4 linked regions of the Arabidopsis thaliana genome follow. The protein of the gene in region 2 purifies or fractionates together with the protein of the main gene of each other region. This does not show direct contact. Each region holds a gene or a part of one and is shown on either strand. Other genes may lie near its edges. The genes, in order: AT4G32175, AT5G35910, AT2G07110 and AT1G60080.

Region 1 (4,553 bases), on a different chromosome or scaffold from region 2:
GTATTATCACAAAAATAAAAAGTTAGGTGTCATTGGCAATTTAATACAAGTTTCTAATTTGATGATATACATGCATTAAACGTGCTTTGCAGTTTGTGCATATAACGAAATTTAGTGTGTATTTTAAAAAGCATCTCCTTACTTGTGCCCTGAAGTGTATGCTTATAAATTTAGTTCTCATTGTGTCAGCAAACTGTGTGTTATCAATTGCCTTACTCCAATGGCTTCAATAAGCTTACTTCAAGTTTCCGTAGCTATCCTTTGCTTTCTCATCCTTCATTACTTTCTCTTCAAGAAACCTCATGGCCGGTACCCTAGGAACTGGCCGGTTCTCCGGATGCTACCCGCTATGCTCAAGGCGCTTCACCGAATCTACGACTACAGCGTGAAGATTCTCGAAACCTCTGACTTGACCTTTCCATTCAAAGGACCGCGGTTCACAGGAATGGATATGTTGCTCACGGTTGATCCAGCTAACATTCATCATATAATGAGCTCAAATTTCTCAAACTACATCAAAGGACCGGAGTTCCAAGATGTTTTTGATGTGTTAGGAGACAGTTTCATCACCACGGACTCGGAGCTATGGAAGAATATGAGGAAATCTTATCAAGCCATGCTCCATAGTCAAGAGTTTCAAAGGTTTTCAATGAGTACCATGACAAGTAAACTCAAGTACGGTCTTGTTCCCCTTCTTAATCATTTTGCTGAGGAAGGAACAACTCTTGACTTGCAAAGCGTCTTCGGGAGGTTCACTTTCGATACAATTTTCATCCTTGTAACTGGTTCTGATCCTAGATCTCTCTCCATTGAAATGCCTGAAGACGAATTTGCTAAAGCTCTCGACGATGTTGGAGAAGGGATTCTTTATAGGCATTTTAAACCAAGGTTCTTGTGGAAGCTGCAAAACTGGATAGGATTCGGACAAGAGAAGAAGCTCACTGAAGCTAATGCAACTTTTGACCGCGTGTGTGCCAAATACATATCAGCCAAGAGAGAAGAGATTAAAAGATCACAAGGGACTTCCAATGGAGGAAGTCAGGATCTTTTAACTTCCTTCATAAAGCTAGACACGACCAAGTACAAGCTCTTGAATCCGAGTGACGATAAGTTCCTTAGAGACAACATCTTAGCTTTCATTCTAGCGGGAAGAGACACAACAGCCACCGCTCTCTCTTGGTTCTTCTGGCTTCTCTCTGAAAATCCACATGTGGTAGCCAAGATTCATCAAGAGATCAACATCAACACTGATCTATCAAGAACAGGAAATAGCCAAGAGAATGTAGACAAGTTGGTGTATTTACATGGTGCGTTGTGTGAAGCAATGAGACTCTACCCACCAGTTTCCTTCGGACGCAAGTCTCCAATCAAATCAGATGTGCTTCCAAGTGGCCATAAAGTTGATGCAAACTCTAAGATTATTATCTGTCTTTATGCATTGGGGAGGATGCGAGCGGTTTGGGGAGAAGATGCATCGCAGTTCAAGCCAGAGAGATGGATTTCGGAGAATGGAGGCATAAAACATGAGCCTTCCTTCAAGTTTTTGTCGTTTAATGCCGGTCCAAGAACTTGTCTAGGTAAACATCTAGCTATGACTCAAATGAAGATAGTGGCAGTGGAGATATTACGAAACTACGACATTAAGGTTCTCCAAGGACAGAAGATTGTGCCAGCTCTTGGTTTTATATTGTCAATGAAACATGGTCTTCAAATCACTGTTACTAAGAGATGTTCTGCTTGAAATTATTCATGTATTAAATAAAAAAATCATTTTGGTTTGGTTTTGATTTGGTTCTTAGTTTTTTTTTTTAGTTTTACGGTTTAAGTAAACCGAAATCCTAATATTGACTGGTTCGGTATAGTTTTGGTTCAAAATTTGCGTGCAAAAAAAAGAAGAGACTGTGCAGTGTTGTTCCTTTCTGGGTTCTCATCGTCGTCAAGGAACAAGCTTTAACAGAGTTTAACATATATTAGGGTTCTTATCTCCAAAACCCACCTCACTCATGGCTGCCAAAGTTTCTGTCTCTCCCACAAGCCTCTTAAATCAGATTGTGGTCCGTATATCTCTAAAAAGTTGGCTTTTTTATGATTTCGATTCGATTTGGTTACAATGAAGCATGGTGTTTTCAATTTTTAGGTTCCAGGTGATGTTGTTCTTGATTTGTCAAACATGAATAACCAAACAATCAAGCTCGGAAGTGGCCTTCTTCAGGTTTCATCTTCTTCTCTTTCTTATGTGTTGTTTGAATCCTAACAATTATTCCAGTGGGCACTTGATTTGTGATATACAATTGCAACTAAAAAGGAATTGTAGATTGACATGTGTTTGTTTTTTTGGCTTATTTTAGGATAATGATGCTATCTCTGCCATGAGAGCTGGCAAATTAAGTTACTCCAAGCCTAATAAGTATTGGCTCGAAAGTTCTCATAAACGGGTGAGCTCAGTGGTCTTACTAATCTTCCCTTTCTGGTTGCTTCTCTATTGAGCTTCTTGTGGATTATAACTGTGTCATCTGCTCGGATACTAGGTCCACTTGATTAATCATGAGTAGAAAAGTAACAAATAACCTGGCACAATTGCATCATGAAGAATTGAAGATTTGCCTTTTGTAGCATTTTGACAATTTGATGCTTTTGTGGATCATTCTTGCTAGTTTTCTCCCTAGTTATTTGATCATATACATCTGGCTTGATAAGACAATTTACCATTTTTGGTTTTCAAAACTCTAGTAGAATATTGTTTTGTTAATTATCTATGTAAGTCTCGTTCTCTTTGTTGCTGACTCTGTTATTATGTTTTTTTTTTGCAGTATATACCTCGCCCTGATGATCATGTTCTTGGAATCGTGGTCGATTCTAGGGCAGATGTAAGTCCTTTGAAATCATTGCTTGTATAGATTCTTGTGTTGTTTTTGGATCCCTCTCAGACTGGTCATCTCTGAAAGCATTTTATTATACTTTAGTTGTCAAATACGATACAAATATATGTTTGTCAGTTTCCGCGACTTCAGTCCTCATTTCTCTGAGCCAATAAAGGTGAACTTGTTTGTTGATGGTCTTGGATCAGTAAATAAATAGGTGGGAGTATTGAAGTTATGGTCTAAAATCAGAAGAAAACTGATACCATTATTGGACAAACAAATGTTAATTGACTTTTAAATTATCAGCTGCAGTTAAGCTTTCTTGCATGAACTAACATCGCCTTAGTAAGTACTGAATTGTTTCTTTTACTCATCATGTCATTGCAGAATTTTTGGGTGGACATTAAAGGACCTCAATTAGCACTTTTGCCAGTTCTTGCATTCGAAGGAGGAACACGAAGAAATATTCCCAAGTTTGAGGCATGTACATTCTGATGACTCAGGAAGCTCTCTTGAATTCTCATTTGGGATATGACATTCTCTATGAATTGATTGTTTCTGGAATGTTCAAATTTTTGTGTACTAAACAGGTAGGCACTCTGCTTTATCTCCGGGTTGTCAAGACAAACATAGGAATGAATCCGGAGCTGTCTTGTACCGAGGGTAAGTTAAAAGCTTTGGAGGCTAAAACAGTGCTGCTTCTCTTAATCCCTTTTAAACTAATTGTCTCTTGTTTCTATGTATTAGCTAGTGGGAAAGCTGCATTATTTGGACCCTTGAGAGATGGTTTCATGTTTGAAACTTCAACTGGTCTTTCAAGAATGTGAGATATACTTCCTCATAAAAAATGTCTCCTTATACTTTATCTATCTTCTTTCGCCATTACAACTTTACTTTCTCATCTCTTATAGGCTGTTGAATTCACCAACGCGCCCGGTCATTGAGGCTCTTGGAAAGAAACTCTCGTTCGAGATAGCTGTGGGCTTAAATGGCAGAGTTTGGGTAAATGCGACAGCTCCACGTATAGTCATTATCGTGGCCAATGCAATAATGAACTCGGAATCTCTAAGTGGGACTCAGCAGAGAATCATGGTTGAGAAATTGCTCGCGATAATTTCAGACTAAACGTTATTGTTCTTGAAATGTAACTGAACCCTCATGATGCTCTTTATAGCAAGTGATTTTGATTCATTCAAATACAATTTTATACAGTAAAAGTGTAGTCTAAATAAAAATACATATGCCACATGACGAATGCTTAATCTGTATACAACAGTAGTCTAAAGGTTGAAGAAATGATACATAACATTGTTAAAGCGAGGGAGGCTCGTATCTGCATACACAATCATATATGTTTCCTTTTATCAACTTCTCAGCCAATCTCTGATTTTTAACCATTGCTAGCTGCCAAAAAGGAAGAGAAGGTTTCAGCCAAAAGTTTCAATAACAGTTCTAGAGCTGAAATTTTCTGTCAAGTGAGGTTTAAACCTTGAGAGCCTCGCATTGGAATTGAGCGTTGAAGTTGGTGTGAAGTGCTCTTCCCATACCTTCCAAGACAACCTGCAATATTGTTAAACATCAAATAAAGAACAAAGCTTCTCTTTTTTGATGTGTTTGAAGTTTATGTCAGGTAGAAAACAGAGAAGGTTTTGTAGATACAAGATCAGCGTCTTTGGCAGCGGCTGCAAGCTC
Region 2 (7,730 bases):
ATTTGAACTTCAAATAATGTTTCGTTTTATTTTGATTAGTCTATAACCATATTACATTTGAAGATCATTTAAAACATATAGATTATTTGATCAATCAGATGAGAGATTAGCTTCAGTTTTCGAAAGATAAAACTTGAGAATGAAAGTTGAGTAAAACAATTGACTGGAACAAGAACTTTACTACTTCAAGCCAGACACTAAACTAGATATATATATAAAAGCACAAGGAGACTGGTTCATAATCTTAACTATGAATCAGATTTGATGGTTTGAGCTAAGAGTTTGTATCCCTAAGTCCCATCAAAGTTTGAGTTATGAAGTTGATAAAATGAAAACGATCAAAACATAAAATTCACCATAGCCCACAACCAAAACAAATAAATGATCTTAAACAGAACCATCAATCAATATTGACTGCCAGAAGATCAATTTTTAAAGGACATACTTCGGTTCCCGGATGCCGGAAAAGCTTGACGCCGTTTTCCTTGACCAAACTCTGACTGCTCCTGTGTAGACCCCTTCTTCTGACCTGCTGCAGCTTCTCTCTTTCCTTGTCTTCCCTTGTGTCCTTCCCCAAATTTCACCTCTTTCCTTGCAGCTTCATAATCAAAAGGCTCTATGTTTAAAAACTCGGTCTGCTTTTGGGCCTTCTTGCTCTTATTCATGGATTTAAAGCACTTCTGAAAGTTTGTGGACAACTCCGAGAGAGACATTGGTTCATCTTCAGCGTCAACTTTTTTCTCATCACCATTTTCTAGTAGTATAATATCGCCCATCTCGGAGCTAGACACTTTGGACTCTGAAACTCTACCAGAAGTACCAACGATCTCTGAGGCTTCTTCTGAATCATCTTTCAACTCTTTCACACCATCTTCCTTGGAAACAGAGGCTGGCATAGTACTGGACATCTCTTCAGGCTTCCCATAAACTTTCGGAGATGTTTCAGAAGTTGACTTTGAGTCAGGAACTTTCTCTGTAAACGAATGGAATGACAGGTTTACAGATGATCTTATCTGTTCGAGCTTCACATCTTCCTTCACCTGAAAACATTTTTATCAATCATTCTGCAACCAAAACCAACTATAGAGTTTTCACATATATAAACTCACCTTCTCATCAGTTCGAGATTTCTTCTTGGAGGCTGCATTTCCCAGCAAAGCTCCTAAACCACTGCTTGGTTTCTTAGAGATCCGAACAGCCGCAGAAACCTAATAAATAACAGATATGTCTTTGAGAGCCCGGCATGGATACTAAAGAGCACCAACCAAAAGAAACAACTAGGTGTCACCTTAGCAGAACCAAACAAGCCGGATCCTAAACCTCTCCCTTCATTAGTATTTGCTGCACCCATAATTAGGTCCCTGGTACTCTCAAGCTGCGAAGAATTTTCCTTCAGACTTGGAGAAGCCACATCTCCTGTGTGCAGGTCTTTCTTCTCACTTATAGGTTCAATATTCTTATCCATTACCTACAATATAAGAAGGCCACATTTTAAACAGACATGGAGAATACAGGAAAACAGTTGAAACCAATAAGTATCACATGCACTCTGAATTCGAGCCATAAGGTGAGGTTTCAGAAATATGAAATTTGGATTCATAATTAGTCTTTGACAGTAAATTATTCCAACTCTAGGCTCTTGTTTTCTTTGCAGGTTGAGTTTTAGAGGGTTTTTAATACCCTAATCGGCTTTCAACTAGCTTATACACCTCAACCGAAAGCTTACAATAATAATTATACAAAAAGGGAATAGAAACTAAATCAATAGAGATATCTCACATTTCCAGGAGACACATCTTTTAAAGATAGAGCAGCAGACTCAAATGCTGCATAATGTTGCATTGATTGCCTGATGACACTGACCACCGAATCAACATTACGCTCGATATAAGGATGCTTTGACTTCAACATCCGACGCAATTTTCCAACACTATCAGGCATCTCCTTGGCTATTAGGATAGCAACATTAGATTACGTTAGGAACTTAGGAATTGCCAAAACAAATCCACTCTCTGCCAGATGGTAAAATTGAACTCTCAGCTCTATATACCTATTTCAAGGAGAACTTTGTTTGGCAATACATAACCAGTGCTCTCATCCTCCGCACGTGCAATGAAATCCCTCCATTCACAAAGCCCCTAAGAGAAAGTAAATTTTAAGTTAGCTTTAAATAGTATAGGAAAAAGCAGTGTAAGTATGCATCATTCTTCACATCACACGAAAACATCATACCGCAACAATGGCAAGTTGAGCTGCATTAAAGCCCGCTGCTTGAAGCCTAACAAAATGCCAGAATGAGAAATATAATACTGGTTTATGTAACTTAGCTCAAGAGAAGCCAGCTATTAAAACAACAATTTGATTAACAGATTTAATCAACAAACGCATACACCTTGTCTGCTGAAACAAAATAAAATAAGTATGTAGACCCTCTCAAGAAAAAGCAACAAACCCATATACGTGAAGATATGAATTCTCGGTCAATAACTCTTTCTCATATAGTTGTGTGCACACATCGTAACTCCGCTTGTAGACCTGTAAGAAACAGTAAGACAAAAATAATAGAAAGAACATATTATTCATGGGCTATATATCCACTGGATGTAACAATATCTAGACAAGTAGAGTCAGTTGAGCTGAATTACCAATTTTAGACACATGAATTCCAAATTATGTGGTAGGAAATTCTATTTTGACTATGCTTACAAAAGTCAATTCAGACAGAGAACTATTTTATGCATGACGGATGCCATTGAAAGTTATTCTTAAAAAGTATTAGAGTGTTGCAAACCTAGAAAATCACCTAGGTGAGGCAGCTAGTATATAATAAGAACACTGAAAACCCAGTACCTCCCAAAATCGCTCTTAAAAAACATAAGAATGTTGCAAATGTGGAGAATCACTTAAGTTAGGCAGCTAATAAAATAAGAATACTGAAAACTTAGCCTAACCTAAGTGATTGGCCACATATCATTTTCCACTAACAATGTTATGCCATCAAGTTTTTTAAGGCTACACAAATTCCTATTTGCTAGTGTGGGAAAGTAACAGAAAGATAGTAAGAACCAAGCAGACACTAGCAAAGACAATTATACATCTATCATGCAAATACCAACATGCAGAGGAATATTATACTTTTCAGCATAGTTTAATGATGACTACCTCAAGTAGAGGAGAGTCAGTATGCGCGTCATCCTTTGCCATTCTCTGCAGTTCTAGTTTGATTAAATCATATATGTATAAGAGGTAGTGGGTATCTTCTCTTGCATATCTGCAGGGAAATCCAAAAATGTGAGCTCAAGTCAACTTAGGCCAGAACAGTAGTGAAAAGACAAAGGACAGAGAAGATTGACCTTGTCATTTCCTCTGGAAGGGGTCTTATTCTCCAGTCTGCATTTTGGTACCTACAGCAATAAACAAATCAGAATTTGGAAGTCCAGTGATAGACGAGAGTGATACAAAATCCAGATAGGACTAGTACTAACTCTTTATTTGCAGTCACTCCACAAAAATGCTGCAAAAGAAACTCCAGGCTATTTCTCTCCAAATTTAGAACCCTGGAGGCCTGAAAAAATCAAATTGTTTCTACTTAGGGGAAAAAAGCTAAATAATTAAAATTTCTTTCATGTATCATGTATGCTTCTTAGTCGCCACAGTATGAGATCCAAAGCTATTCAACTAAACCAATTGACTTGTGTCTTACAACACATACCACAAGTTACTAAAATTCAGGAGGGGGTTGAAATTATCTCCTAAAAGGACAAGAAAAATCCAGAGTTGTGCAAATCGTTGCCAGTTATCCCTTTGATGGTATAATTAGCTAAAACCATTCTCAAAATAGCTTAGTTCAGTGTACTTTGATCGGAAGAAAACTTCTAATTTTCTCTTTCCAGGCATAAAGGAAAAGAGAAGAAGAAAGCGGGATATTAAATTCAAAAGCCAATATGTTGCCATCATTCTTCTTCCATAAAGCAAAAGGTGTATGTTATGGATACTGGATCTCCTATGTTTTACAGGAAATGTCATAGAAAAAAATAGAAGATCATCGCTGAAACAAAATCAAACCTGTCCTGTGTCAAAGAGATTGCAGACATATATGCCGAAGTCCCGTTGAAGCCAGATAATATCTCGATCTGCTCCATGCATTACCTAATTACATAAACAGATTTCAGAGCACAGAAAATATATTTTAGACCTTTTGTAATGGAATTGAAGTATCCCAGGAAAAACCTTTTTCTTTTTAGGGTCTTTGAATATCTCCCTTAGATAAGGCCCAATGTGAATACGAAGCTTAAATGTATCAACTATATAATCCTCTGTTCTGGTGGAAATTTGCATCAAGCATGTCAATCCTTGAAAAGATCTATACTGATTATGCTCCAGATCAACCTAAAAAGAGCAAAAACAAAAAACTTAAGAGAAAGGGGAGAAATAAGCATTGGCAACTCAAACTTGAATATATTTTTTTGGCTTATCTAATCAAGGAGAGAAGTCTTATATTCTCCAAACCAAATTGCTGAAGTAACTATCACATTGGTAGTTCAGTATTATTCTAAAGAAACTCTGTAAAAGTGTATAACCAAGTAGCAAGCCATTATGTAATAATGATAGGATCATCAAATTCCTTACTACTTCTACCAAGAGACATTATGATCAAACAATTCACTGCAGACTGCACATTGGACTACTAAAGACAATCAGAAAAGAAATTTACCGCAAACTCTTCAACACTACGCAGTTTGGCAACTAATTCTTTCAGATCTTTCACTTCCTGGACGAACTTGAATGGAGTCTGTTCCAGTGGAAGGGGCTTCACAGGTTCCATCTCGTTTACATCTTTGTCAACGAAGTCAAGCACTGAAAATTTCTCCTGCATAGTATAATAAACGTATAAAAAGAGAGAAAAATGCCAAGAAAAGGCCAAATACTGACAGCCAAAACATAACCCTAAGAAAGTTAAAAACAGATCTTTTCCCAAGCCACCTTTTCATCAATACAATACGGTAAGCTTACAGACACTAGAGTCTTAATGTGGCTGTTAAGAACACAGATAATGCTAACCAAAATACAACACTATTGGCAGTACAGGGCAGGTTCTTAAGAATAACTTCACTACATTCAAATAGAAATTCTCATTCTACACTATACTGGTAGCATCCTCACTAAACCAAGCCAATTTTCAAATAAAGTCTAACTCTATCCAAAGTTCAAACCATATTATTCCACAACAACTAAACAGATAACTCTAAAAAACACAAAACACTAACCAAAGGATGCATAGCCCGCAGATCATCCTCGCTCCTCTCCAACCAAACATGCTCAAACGGTAGATTCGCATTGTTCACCAATATGTTATACTCCTCTTGAGGCTTCTTTATAGTTGGTACATGAAAAGGAACTTTAGCCTTACCAGATGAATTCTTATCCCTCTCAGCCATCTTAACATCAATCACAGAACCACCACCATTAACCGCTGCCGAGCCAGTAACCACATTACCAACAGGCTTCTTCTTCTTCCCATAAACCATCTGAAACCCATCATCTCCATCATCAGCAACAACAGACCTACCAATTTCCTTCTCTTTCTTCCTAATCCTCTGAAACTCATCAACAGAAACATCAAATCTCTCAATCAATTCATCATTCACGTTACATAACCAATCCTCCGCATATACGTCATCAACATCGCCAGGAAACTTCATCGATTTCCCCCAAACTTGCTCGGAATCACCGATCGTTGCAAGAGTTGATTGCGAGGTTCCAGTTATCTCATCGATTGGGCGTTTGAACTCATCGAAATTGTAGTAAAAGTGAAAATCTCTACTCGTTGGAATTAGGCGAGAAGACGATGAGAGTCTCGAGAGAGTCGAAGAGAAAGAAGAACCATCGATTAATTTCTCCAGAGACTTTACCTTCCAAGAGACTGGTGATTCGTCGACGTCCATGTTACCGTCGCTCATTATCTCCGCTGGAGAAAAGATCAAATCAGAGAATTGTGATTTTAGGGTATCTCTGGGCTTGGCTAGGGTTTTAGGAACATTATTCAATGAGAAACTACTGTGGAGCTGTTTTAGTATATACACTTAAGGGCAAGAACGTAATATCCGGTATTTAATTAATTCTAGGATATATCGAAATATATAAATATTTATTTTAAAGATTTTTAAGGATATTTCCTACTCGTTTGGGATAAATTAGCTACTCCAAAACCAAAAATTAGCAAATCAGATCTTTGTTCATTGCATATATGAAATCTCAATATTTATGCAATGACAAATTCCAAATGGTTGGGGGATTCAAAAAACTCAACTAGTTAGACGAATTCAAACAATTCAACTAATTAGACGAAATTCATACTCACACTATATAAAAGGTTTTGAAAATGGATATATATCTAAACTCTTTGTTCTCTCGACAAAAAAACAAAACAAAAACTAAAATCTTTGTTCGAAAAAACGTTATGTGTTAGTCGGGGGCTTGGTATGGGCATAAAGTTTAATCAGGAACTCTCAATCTAAATGTATGCATAATAAAAATAAAAATTGTTTTATATTTCCAATCTAAAAATAATCTGGGTATGCAAATTTAGGCGAAAAGTAATCGGATGTTATCTTTTGAAGAAATTAGTCATTAATCGAGGTGGATAGAATAAGCCTAGCGTGCAATTAAGTGGTGAGTAATCGGAGCTAGGCGGAAATTTTAGAACAAGATCTAAAACTAATGAATATGTTGGTAATAACTAGATTTCTTAGTTAGGAATGTACTTACCAATTTTAGTGCACGACGGAGTCCACTTGCCCTTCCGCTTGCGTCATCAAACAACAGATCTAGTCAATTTTGTTTTTGATCTCGTCAACTAAAGGTGTCAGACGGGCCGGCCCACGCCCATCTAGCCCGCCCCGCAGTGGGCTTTCTTTTTTCGGGCCGCGACGGGTTGGTCCGTTTAGGACCGCGGACAAAATTATCAGTGTCCAAGTCCGGTCCGCAAAGCCCAACGGATATACGGGTCGGCCCGCAGGCATTTCTCTGCTACGCATCAAGGATTTTTGAGCTGTGGCATTGTCTGTACAAGGCAATATCTCGTCCAGAGCCGTATTGCTTGATGGTCTCTCAACCCATTCGTTCATTGCCACACATGTGTCTGCAGTACAAATCGAAGAAACTGCAGGAGAAGAAATGATAACAAGATCACTAAGGTCAATACATTAGTTGATAGTTGAGAAACATGTAGTCAAAGATGAAAACATTACCGAGACCAAGAAAAGTCACCACAAGCATGACGATTGAAACTACGATAAGCGCCACTCTCCTGCGAGTACAGAAATGACTATTATACATTTGTTTTTCAAAATCCAAAGATTCTGTAACAGATAGACTGTTAGGAGGAGTTTGTTACACAGAATCAAGGAAATGTCTTATGTGATTGGAGTTACTAGTCGATTTCTCAGTGATAGTAGCTACAGAAGAATCCAGTTTCGCTCCGATCTGATCGATTTCAGTTTGTACATTTGCAGGTAAAAGAACCTGAAGAACTGCAGCCTACTTGGCTGAAGCAAGATAATCTGAGATAGCTCTAAAACAAAAGGATCATAAAAACAGAACCAAACTAAAACAAAAGTCAGGACTGAAACATAATTGTAACAAGTTAAACTCAAATGTGAAACAGAAAATGAACTTAAGTCAAGAGAAAGACCTGCAACTTCTTCAACGCAAACATGATAACTGAAACA
Region 3 (2,976 bases), on a different chromosome or scaffold from region 2:
AAAATATGCAGTTCTTATTGAAAGATATATTTCTTTCTTTTTTATAAACAATTTAAAGAATAATTGTTTTTTTATTTATTCCTCAAATCTATGTTTTTAACTTCTTATCCTTGAGAAATAATTATTCAGTAATTTTATTATTGGAAGATAAATCTCTTTCCTAAATAATTATTAAGAATTATTTGACATTTACTTTTAAGAATTATTTAATATTATCCCCAAAAAAGGGTGTTATTTCATTTTCGTAACAGATAAAAATATTCCTTTTCTTATTTATTTGAGTCGTACACGCGGTGGTATATATATAGATTCTCCTCTAAAGCCACCGAAGTCGGAGAAAGGTAATGGCGTCGGGGAAGCTTCCGTGGGAGTTGGAGGAAGAGATACTGTGTCGGCTTCCACCTGGATCCCTTGTTCGGGTAAGATCCGTATGTAAACACTGAACGATCTTCTCAACGACAAATGGTTCATCAAGAAAAGCTTGGGTTGTGCACGTCCCCAATTTATCATCCTGCCCGAATCCAAGATTTATTCGATAGGAACCATCGGCCTGGACGACTTTGATCCGAAGATAGAGGTGCGTGAGCTAGCCTGTCAATTTCATTTTAAGGCTGAGAAGTGGGCATTTACCAGGATCACGGCTTGCGATGGATTATTGTTTCGTGACTTTTGGAACCAAGGGGTTACCATTTGGAATCCATGGTTAAGACAGGTTGGGTGGATCGAGTATAAGGAGGACAGAGATTTCCGTTTTTGCGGTGTAGGATACGATGCTTGTAAACCCGAAAAGGATTACAAGATCTTTGGGTATTTTAGTCGTTTCTATGACACTACACTGAAAATCGGCCACAGATTTGCGATCTTTGAATGTGCGTCTCAAGCGTTTAAGTTCATTGATTCCCCGGAATGGCCAATGCTGGCAGGTCGAGGTGAATATGTGTCCTTGAATGGAAATTTGTATTGGACTGCTTACAATGAAGATACTCGTGAGCATTTTCTCGGAAGCTTTGATTTCTCCACAGAAATATCCATGCACTTTTGTCTCCTTCCTTGTGGGAAGCATGTTTCTGGCTTACGAGATAAACTTGTCCTCACTGTATTTAAGGGCGATCAGTTTGCATTGTTAAAGCAATCTCGTATATCAAGTAATACAGAGATTTGGGTAACAAATGACATGATTAACTCTAGTAATAATGTGGTGTGGTTAAACTTGATGACACTGTCAATACCTGATTTTCCCTCGCTATTCCATCAGCTTTCTGATATTAGTTACTTCATCCATGACATGACCCTTATCCTGTGCTGTGACGACAATCAAACTGGAGTGGGTTGCATCTTTATTGCGAGGGGAGACTTCTGCAAGAAGATTCAAATAGATTCTGTCTCTCTTGGGTTTTCTCAATGTGTCCATCTTCCAAGTTTGACCTCGGTTCCTTTGGAATTCAGATCACTGCAAGTTTAGAATTTCGATTTTTCGAGTACAAACAGTCTTTGAAATGTGATTCTTTTTTCATGTCTTTTATATTATACTAGATAAATACCCACGTGTAGCGTGGGTTTGTTTTGAAAATTGTGAAGCGTGAGTTTGTTTTGAAAATTGTGAAAAACAATTATTGATTGTTTTTGCTAATTTATGTTTATTTTTTATTCGTTATTATGTAGTTAATTAATAAAACTAAAACTATCTTATGTAGTTACAATTTTTAAGATTATATCTTTTTTTTTTACTTGAAATATAACTCGTGAAAGACTTACTTGTCAGCTGAAACCTCTTGCTTATTCGCGTAATATCCTTCATCGTCCTCATGGCTCTCCTAGTTGGTCAGAAGGTACTTTATCAGCTTTCTCAATATCTATTATGGGTACAAAGTTGTTTTTATCCTTTTTGAATGGGATACATGGAACTCTCTCGTTTATATTTTCAGAGGATACAAAAGTTCTATCTGCGCAATACGGACCTAAAGCAAGAACGAAGAAGAACGAAAATGCTGAGAAGGCTTGTTTGAAGTCATATGGAAGCCTTAAACCGGATAGATTGGTAATCGTAAATGCGTTTAGTTTTTCAGAAAGAGGCTTGTTTTGTCGCTTGAGTATGTAGTACAGGTGATTCTTGGTTTTTAGATGTGAATTTCTTTTGCTTTGAATATTGATAGGAAAAGTTGAAAAAGAGTATGAAACGATACTGAAAAGGACGCTACAGAGTATTTGTGTTTTGAGAGTTGTTCCAAATACCACCACCTCAGTGATTATTCAGGTGAGTAACTATTCAATGTTGTGTATATATATATTGTCAACTTGAGTTGTATCTGATGTTTTCATTTTGTAATTTCTGTGTAGGTTGTACATGATGGTGGTTCTGTATCGTTTTTATGTTCCTTTCACCTTGGTAAACATTTACTAATGCTGTCTGAAACACATATAATCCGGTATAAACAATGTCTGTTTGAGTATTTATAGAGTTTATAGTAGTGAAAGTTTGTAATCCCATAAACTGAGAGTGTGAATATGTTTTTGTGTAACTTCTACCGTGGCCTCCATTCTGGCAGTTAGAAGGTATTAAACGTTTGTTCTAAAGAAATATGATGTACAAAAAGGGAGACTATGAAGGATAGAATTTACGAAGTCGAGAAATTTACCTTGAGATTCTTCTTCTTTCATATTGAACGATCTAGCAGAATAAAAAAAAAAATACAAAACAGTCATACAAAACAGTCTTTCAAATTACTTGTTTTCTTAGCATAAATCTCGAATAGCTTAGATATATTTAATTTGCATATTTATTTAGTTTTTTCATAATAATCATCTAATTTTTAGGCAAGGAATATGTGTATCATGTTTGGATTTTATTTTTTTCTTCAAGATTAGTTTAAAAATTAAATTAGTTTTAAATATTAACTGTTAATTAAAATAGTTAAACTAATGATTTTAGAAATGAGAATTATTTAAAATTTTTAAATGAAAAACTCAAACTTTAAG
Region 4 (4,951 bases), on a different chromosome or scaffold from region 2:
TTGCAAATTTTTCCTCAACTACGAAGGAAAATTTGCATGGGTTTGCTCTGACGACGTCTCTGGTAAATGATTTTGGGTTTTGGAGGATGAAGAGAAACAAGAACGGTCACTTAGAAAATTTCCTCAACGTGACCCGATCTGGAAAGTTTCTTGGGGGCTGAGAGGTATTACTCATGATCCACTGGTGAGTTTATTTATACAGCTGCAACAACATCTGAAGCAATTTATGTCTTATATTATGATCCAAAAAGAACCCTAGTAAGGAGGGTCAAATATGATTATATGAAGGAATTGGTGACGAAGAATTCTGGAAGCTTAATCATAAAAATGTAAGAGAGGTCCGCTATTATCATAATCACACTGAGAGTCTCATGTCTTTGGAGGAAGTTCCTCGCTTAGCATATGATTCTTCCACAGATTCAGAATGATTTTATGTTATTTAGTATTTAATTAGTCTCTCGAGGACTTTCCTCGTCTAGTATGGAATATTTCTTTCACAGATTCAGAATGGTTCTTGTTACAATGCCTCTTTTAAATGGAATAATATTTTAACATACCCTTACATTATAACATAAAAAAATTCAGAAAAGCCTAATCAAAAACAAACTTGCGATGGTGGTCAACAAACAAACTTGTTAATTGCTTTTGATTTGAACATTTGTAAAATTAATCAGCTTACGCACATTTCGGTTCGTTTGAAATGGAGATAATATAATCTCACACTTACACTAGCACTAAATTAAAGTCGTTATATGACAAACAAAACCGTAACACAATCGAACAAAAATGGTGAAGAGCTTCTTCCTTTGCCTCTAAATGGGTAACTTGGTGATCTGATTAAAATATGTAACACAAAATTTCAACAATGTTATGGAATCGTTCCATCTGATAAATTAGTCGATATCCATCTCTCCCAATATCTGCTTAAGCTCCTTTGCTCTCTTCCTTGCTAACTCGACACAGCTCTGCGCATAGCAACTTTATAAGAAACAAAAAACGGTGTAAATCAAGTGGTGGATTAACCTAAGAGAAAGCTAAAACTCTCACCTTGATGGCTGATGAATAGGCGAGAGCAGCTCCTCCTGATTTGTAGAAAGAAACCATTTGATCCGAGGAATCCAAAACAACAGTCACAAGAGTGTCCATGATCGATTCTTCTTCGGTTGTTGGATCTGCTAAGATGTAGTTCTTGTGAAGTATGCAAGTTAAAGAGAAAGGAATGTTCTTAAGCGTAAGTTTTCTCTTCTCCTTGTTCACTGCTTCTTTCTCGGTGATCAAAGCATTGTCTTGATCTTTTTCTCCAGTGACGGCAACTATTCTTCCATTGTCATTCAGAGCAACAATTGGAATTTGCACTGCAATATAAAAGATATTTTATGCATCAGAGGAAAAATTCTTCTGTCTCGGAACACCAATCACACAACTTCTGAACAAACCGCTATTGTGCAGGGAAGAATATTACTCAGGTATGACTCACTCAGCAAGATTTAAGTGTTCTCTAAGGCTTGCTCTTTTTACTCATATTCGAAATGGATTTGATAAACTTGAGAATCAGCTTTATTCAAAGGTTCTCTAAAGGAGCTGTGAAACCAACTAAAGGATGAGAACAGAGAAGAACTTACGATTGGAGAAGGCTGCGACAGCAGCAAGCAGAGCAGCATCAAAGAGAGCACCATCAGCATCCAGGCAATATATGTCCTATGAGAAATTTCAGAGAGCAACAATGTTCATATATATGCTAGAGAACTCAGTTAAATATCAAAGAGAAAGATCCCTAGAAGAATAGATGTGAATCAACTGACGGACAAGCACCGATATAAGACCAACGAGTACTCACCAGATAACCCATCCAAGCAGCTTTTCCACTAACTAGACACAGTTCTTTAAGATCAATCATACCAGAACTAGAACAAAAAAGAAACACTTTTAGAAGGAACATTGTATTTGATGCTCAATGAGACAGAGAAAATATAAAGAGAAAGATCAAACCAAAACACACCTTAAAATAGTATCAGACAAACGCTTTGAAATAACGGGAGCAGCTTCGGCTGGTCTTCCAGGACGAACAGTCGGAGAACAAATTGGAGGCATATGGAACTCAATAGCTACCAAAAAGGAATCACAAAATGAATCACCAAAGAAGAACAACAAACCACATAGAGAACAAGACAACGAGATAACAACCTATGCATCCTTCGTCTGGAGAGTCCGTAGAAGGAGTCATAACTTCCATTCTAATAGCAGCAAGCATAGTCTATAAACACGAAACAACTATGTAAGCAAAACATTGCTGATCATGTGAATACTATCGAAACGACTAAGGCGGGTTCTTACAGTGGAACCAATCTTAGCAAGAGCAGACCCATCAGCAGTTGAAACAAGTCCTACAACAAACACAAGAAACCACTATAAAGTTGACATTTTTAATTTGATAAAAACTAAAAAGAATCAATCTTCATTGTTTATACCAAGATTAACAATGGTGTCTCTAGCTTTTCCAAGTTGTCTTCCATCAGGACGAAGAGATTCAGAGAGATGACGCTCAAAGAAACGAAGAGGGAAGATTCTTCTAAAAGCATCAACTTCCATCTCTGTCGACAAGTCTTGAGCTGCATCTGGTATTCCCATGTTTTCTTTAGCTCTGCTTCATGTCACAAAGATAAAGAGAATCATAAACCAAAAGTCTCTGAGTCTGTGCTTCATCAACACAGTCTCAAGGAATCACAAAGCTTACCTTGGGACAAAAGAAAGAACTGCCTTTGGTACACGAAACTGTTGTAGTGAAGAGGAAACACAAGCAATAGAGTGTAAGAAGAAGATTGAGAGCTCGCGGTGTCGTAAGTAATGGGGATTTCGACGGAGACGGTGACGGTGACGACGGCTAGGTTTATCTGAGTTTTTAACTAAAGTACTTCTTCATTCTAAATGGGCCCCAAACAAAGCCCAATAATGTTGCGAAGCCCAAAGAAATGCGAAATAAGAGATTTGTTTGCTTCACAAGACATGAGTATATTGAAATTTGGGTTTTCAATTAGATGAATTTGGCGAAAATATGAGGCGCACTTGATTATGAGCTGAATTTGGGAAAATGTTTAGTGTAAATTGTAAAATATGAAGAAGAAGAAATGGCGTCAAAATGAACATTATACATTCTTGTTTTATATCCAATTTTGTTAATCCTCCATACATTACTTAATGGTGTTTAATTATAAGTTAAGAAATTTCTCTTTTACTATATATATCGTTATAAGTATTCGTAGAAAATTTCAATTCAAAACATCGTTATAAGTATTCGTATATTGAAATTTGCAACAATCAACAGAAAAACTTATCGTTATTCCGTTTTTTTCACATCTATTTTAAAATTTTAAGATAATGTATGTTTAATATTTTATGCTTTGTAATAATTATTAAGTTTTATGAAATAAAATATTTTTTTCTTTATAAGAGGACCAAATATTTTTACTTTAATACCTCAAAAGTTATTATATCATAGTCCATACTATTAACAAAAATTTAGGAATACCCAAAAAAAATTGAAATGTAACAAAAAGTCCAAAAATATTTTTTTGGCCCAAAAGCCCTCATATATGTGGGGCTGGGGCTGCATAGCCGCATGGTTTTCCGGTCCCCTAGTTTCTTTCGTTATTTGGGTTGGTCAGACCTGGGCTCCGATCCAGCGTAATCTGTTTCTTATCATAGTAAATAAAGACCATAATTCATTTCAACACACTTCCCAATATGTTTCTTATCTAAATTGCATCATCATTAATGTCTACGTCACAACTATATCTAGCGGGTACGCAAATGGCTACTGGACTTACTTATTCTAACATGGAACGAAGAAAAGAGTGTGTGTGTGTGTGAGAAATGGAACAGATTTTGGCTCTGTTTGCCATTTTTCTTGCTTTTGCTTTCTCCGGGAAATGCAGCGACGTTTTCAGCAGATCTGACTACCCTGAGGGATTCGTCTTTGGAGCCGGCACTTCTGCTTATCAGGTTTGGAACCAATTTATGAGCTTCTTTTTTCTTAACTTTTGAACAAAACTGAACCAAATGTTTGGTCTCTACTAGTGGGAAGGAGCTGCTGCAGAAGACGGAAGGAAACCTAGCCTGTGGGACACTCTTTGTCACTCTCGTAAGCTTTTCATTTTAACACAAACTATTATTAGTATTAGAGTTTGTCACTCTTGTGCTTTGATTCTTGTTTCTAACATTGCAGGTGACCAAGGTAACGGAGATATAGCATGTGATGGGTATCACAAGTACAAGGTTCTTTAGCTTCTCTGTTTCTCTGACTACATCATGAGGTTTTATTCATCAAGCCTGAGTTTCATTATGAATTTATACAGGATGATGTGAAGTTGATGGTGGACACTAACTTAGATGCTTTCAGATTCTCCATCTCTTGGTCTAGGCTAATACCTAGTAAGTTTTCTTAAACATGTTATAGCTCAGTGAAGGGATCAAATTTATGATCAGTTCGTAATTTATTATCTGATTAGATGGAAGAGGGCCTGTTAACCAAAAGGGTCTACAGTTCTACAAGAACCTCATCCAAGAGTTAGTAAGCCACGGTAAGACCTATCTTCATATCCACGGTAGGACTCAAGAGTTAGGTTTAGTTCGTATTAACTAGAGTTTAAGTAGACTTACTACAGGAATTGAACCACATGTTACACTCTACCACTATGATCATCCTCAGTCTCTGGAGGATGAATATGGAGGATGGCTCAACCACAGAATGATGTAGGCGTTACTTATTTTCTCTTACAGATTTTGTAGTTTAAGATAAAATAACAAAAGTTGATGTTATTTGCCATTGCAGCAAAGACTTTACTACTTATGCAGATGTTTGCTTCAGAGAGTTTGGGAACCATGTCAAACTATGGACCACGATCAACGAGGCTAATATATTCTCTATAGGAGGTTACAACGATGGGGATACACC

What was found.
Region 1: the proteins of AT5G35910 (region 2) and AT4G32175 fractionate together in Arabidopsis thaliana (co-fractionation; one large-scale study listed by BioGRID). This does not show direct contact.
Region 3: the proteins of AT5G35910 (region 2) and AT2G07110 fractionate together in Arabidopsis thaliana (co-fractionation; one large-scale study listed by BioGRID). This does not show direct contact.
Region 4: the proteins of AT5G35910 (region 2) and AT1G60080 fractionate together in Arabidopsis thaliana (co-fractionation; one large-scale study listed by BioGRID). This does not show direct contact.

The regions. Positions count from the first base shown.
Region 1 is NC_003075.7:15,533,552-15,538,104, forward strand, and holds AT4G32175 (PNAS-3-like protein), read left to right. Parts: upstream 1-1,882; 5' UTR 1,883-2,003; coding exon 2,004-2,054; intron 2,055-2,137; coding exon 2,138-2,212; intron 2,213-2,348; coding exon 2,349-2,435; intron 2,436-2,810; coding exon 2,811-2,867; intron 2,868-3,248; coding exon 3,249-3,341; intron 3,342-3,451; coding exon 3,452-3,524; intron 3,525-3,608; coding exon 3,609-3,684; intron 3,685-3,772; coding exon 3,773-3,986; 3' UTR 3,987-4,051; downstream 4,052-4,553. Other genes in the region: CYP96A2 (cytochrome P450, family 96, subfamily A, polypeptide 2), read left to right, coding at 221-1,741; PANK2 (pantothenate kinase 2), read right to left, coding at 4,173-4,265, 4,350-4,421, 4,521-4,553.
Region 2 is NC_003076.8:14,029,446-14,037,175, forward strand, and holds AT5G35910 (Polynucleotidyl transferase, ribonuclease H fold protein with HRDC domain-containing protein), read right to left. Parts: upstream 6,049-7,730; 5' UTR 5,961-6,048; coding exon 5,268-5,960; intron 4,871-5,267; coding exon 4,715-4,870; intron 4,390-4,714; coding exon 4,231-4,389; intron 4,150-4,230; coding exon 4,066-4,149; intron 3,566-4,065; coding exon 3,486-3,565; intron 3,405-3,485; coding exon 3,354-3,404; intron 3,272-3,353; coding exon 3,163-3,271; intron 2,536-3,162; coding exon 2,453-2,535; intron 2,279-2,452; coding exon 2,233-2,278; intron 2,139-2,232; coding exon 2,051-2,138; intron 1,950-2,050; coding exon 1,780-1,949; intron 1,469-1,779; coding exon 1,289-1,468; intron 1,209-1,288; coding exon 1,110-1,208; intron 1,041-1,109; coding exon 426-1,040; 3' UTR 129-425; downstream 1-128. UniProt on the Arabidopsis thaliana protein: Acts as an important epigenetic regulator through multiple silencing mechanisms. Involved in association with RRP6L1 in the silencing of the solo LTR locus. Controls levels of non-coding RNAs (ncRNAs) from the solo LTR locus.
Region 3 is NC_003071.7:2,952,091-2,955,066, reverse strand, and holds AT2G07110 (exosome complex exonuclease RRP46-like protein), read left to right. Parts: upstream 1-1,858; coding exon 1,859-2,090; intron 2,091-2,153; coding exon 2,154-2,254; intron 2,255-2,337; coding exon 2,338-2,457; downstream 2,458-2,976. Other genes in the region: AT2G07120 (F-box associated ubiquitination effector family protein), read left to right, coding at 345-419, 476-1,462.
Region 4 is NC_003070.9:22,151,712-22,156,662, forward strand, and holds AT1G60080 (3'-5'-exoribonuclease family protein), read right to left. Parts: upstream 2,933-4,951; 5' UTR 2,735-2,932; intron 2,642-2,734; 5' UTR 2,629-2,641; coding exon 2,469-2,628; intron 2,385-2,468; coding exon 2,335-2,384; intron 2,255-2,334; coding exon 2,185-2,254; intron 2,106-2,184; coding exon 2,000-2,105; intron 1,905-1,999; coding exon 1,838-1,904; intron 1,699-1,837; coding exon 1,623-1,698; intron 1,356-1,622; coding exon 1,048-1,355; intron 966-1,047; coding exon 894-965; 3' UTR 519-893; downstream 1-518. Other genes in the region: BGLU4 (beta glucosidase 4), read left to right, coding at 3,871-3,999, 4,075-4,138, 4,223-4,272, 4,353-4,428, 4,506-4,577, 4,662-4,749, 4,829-4,951.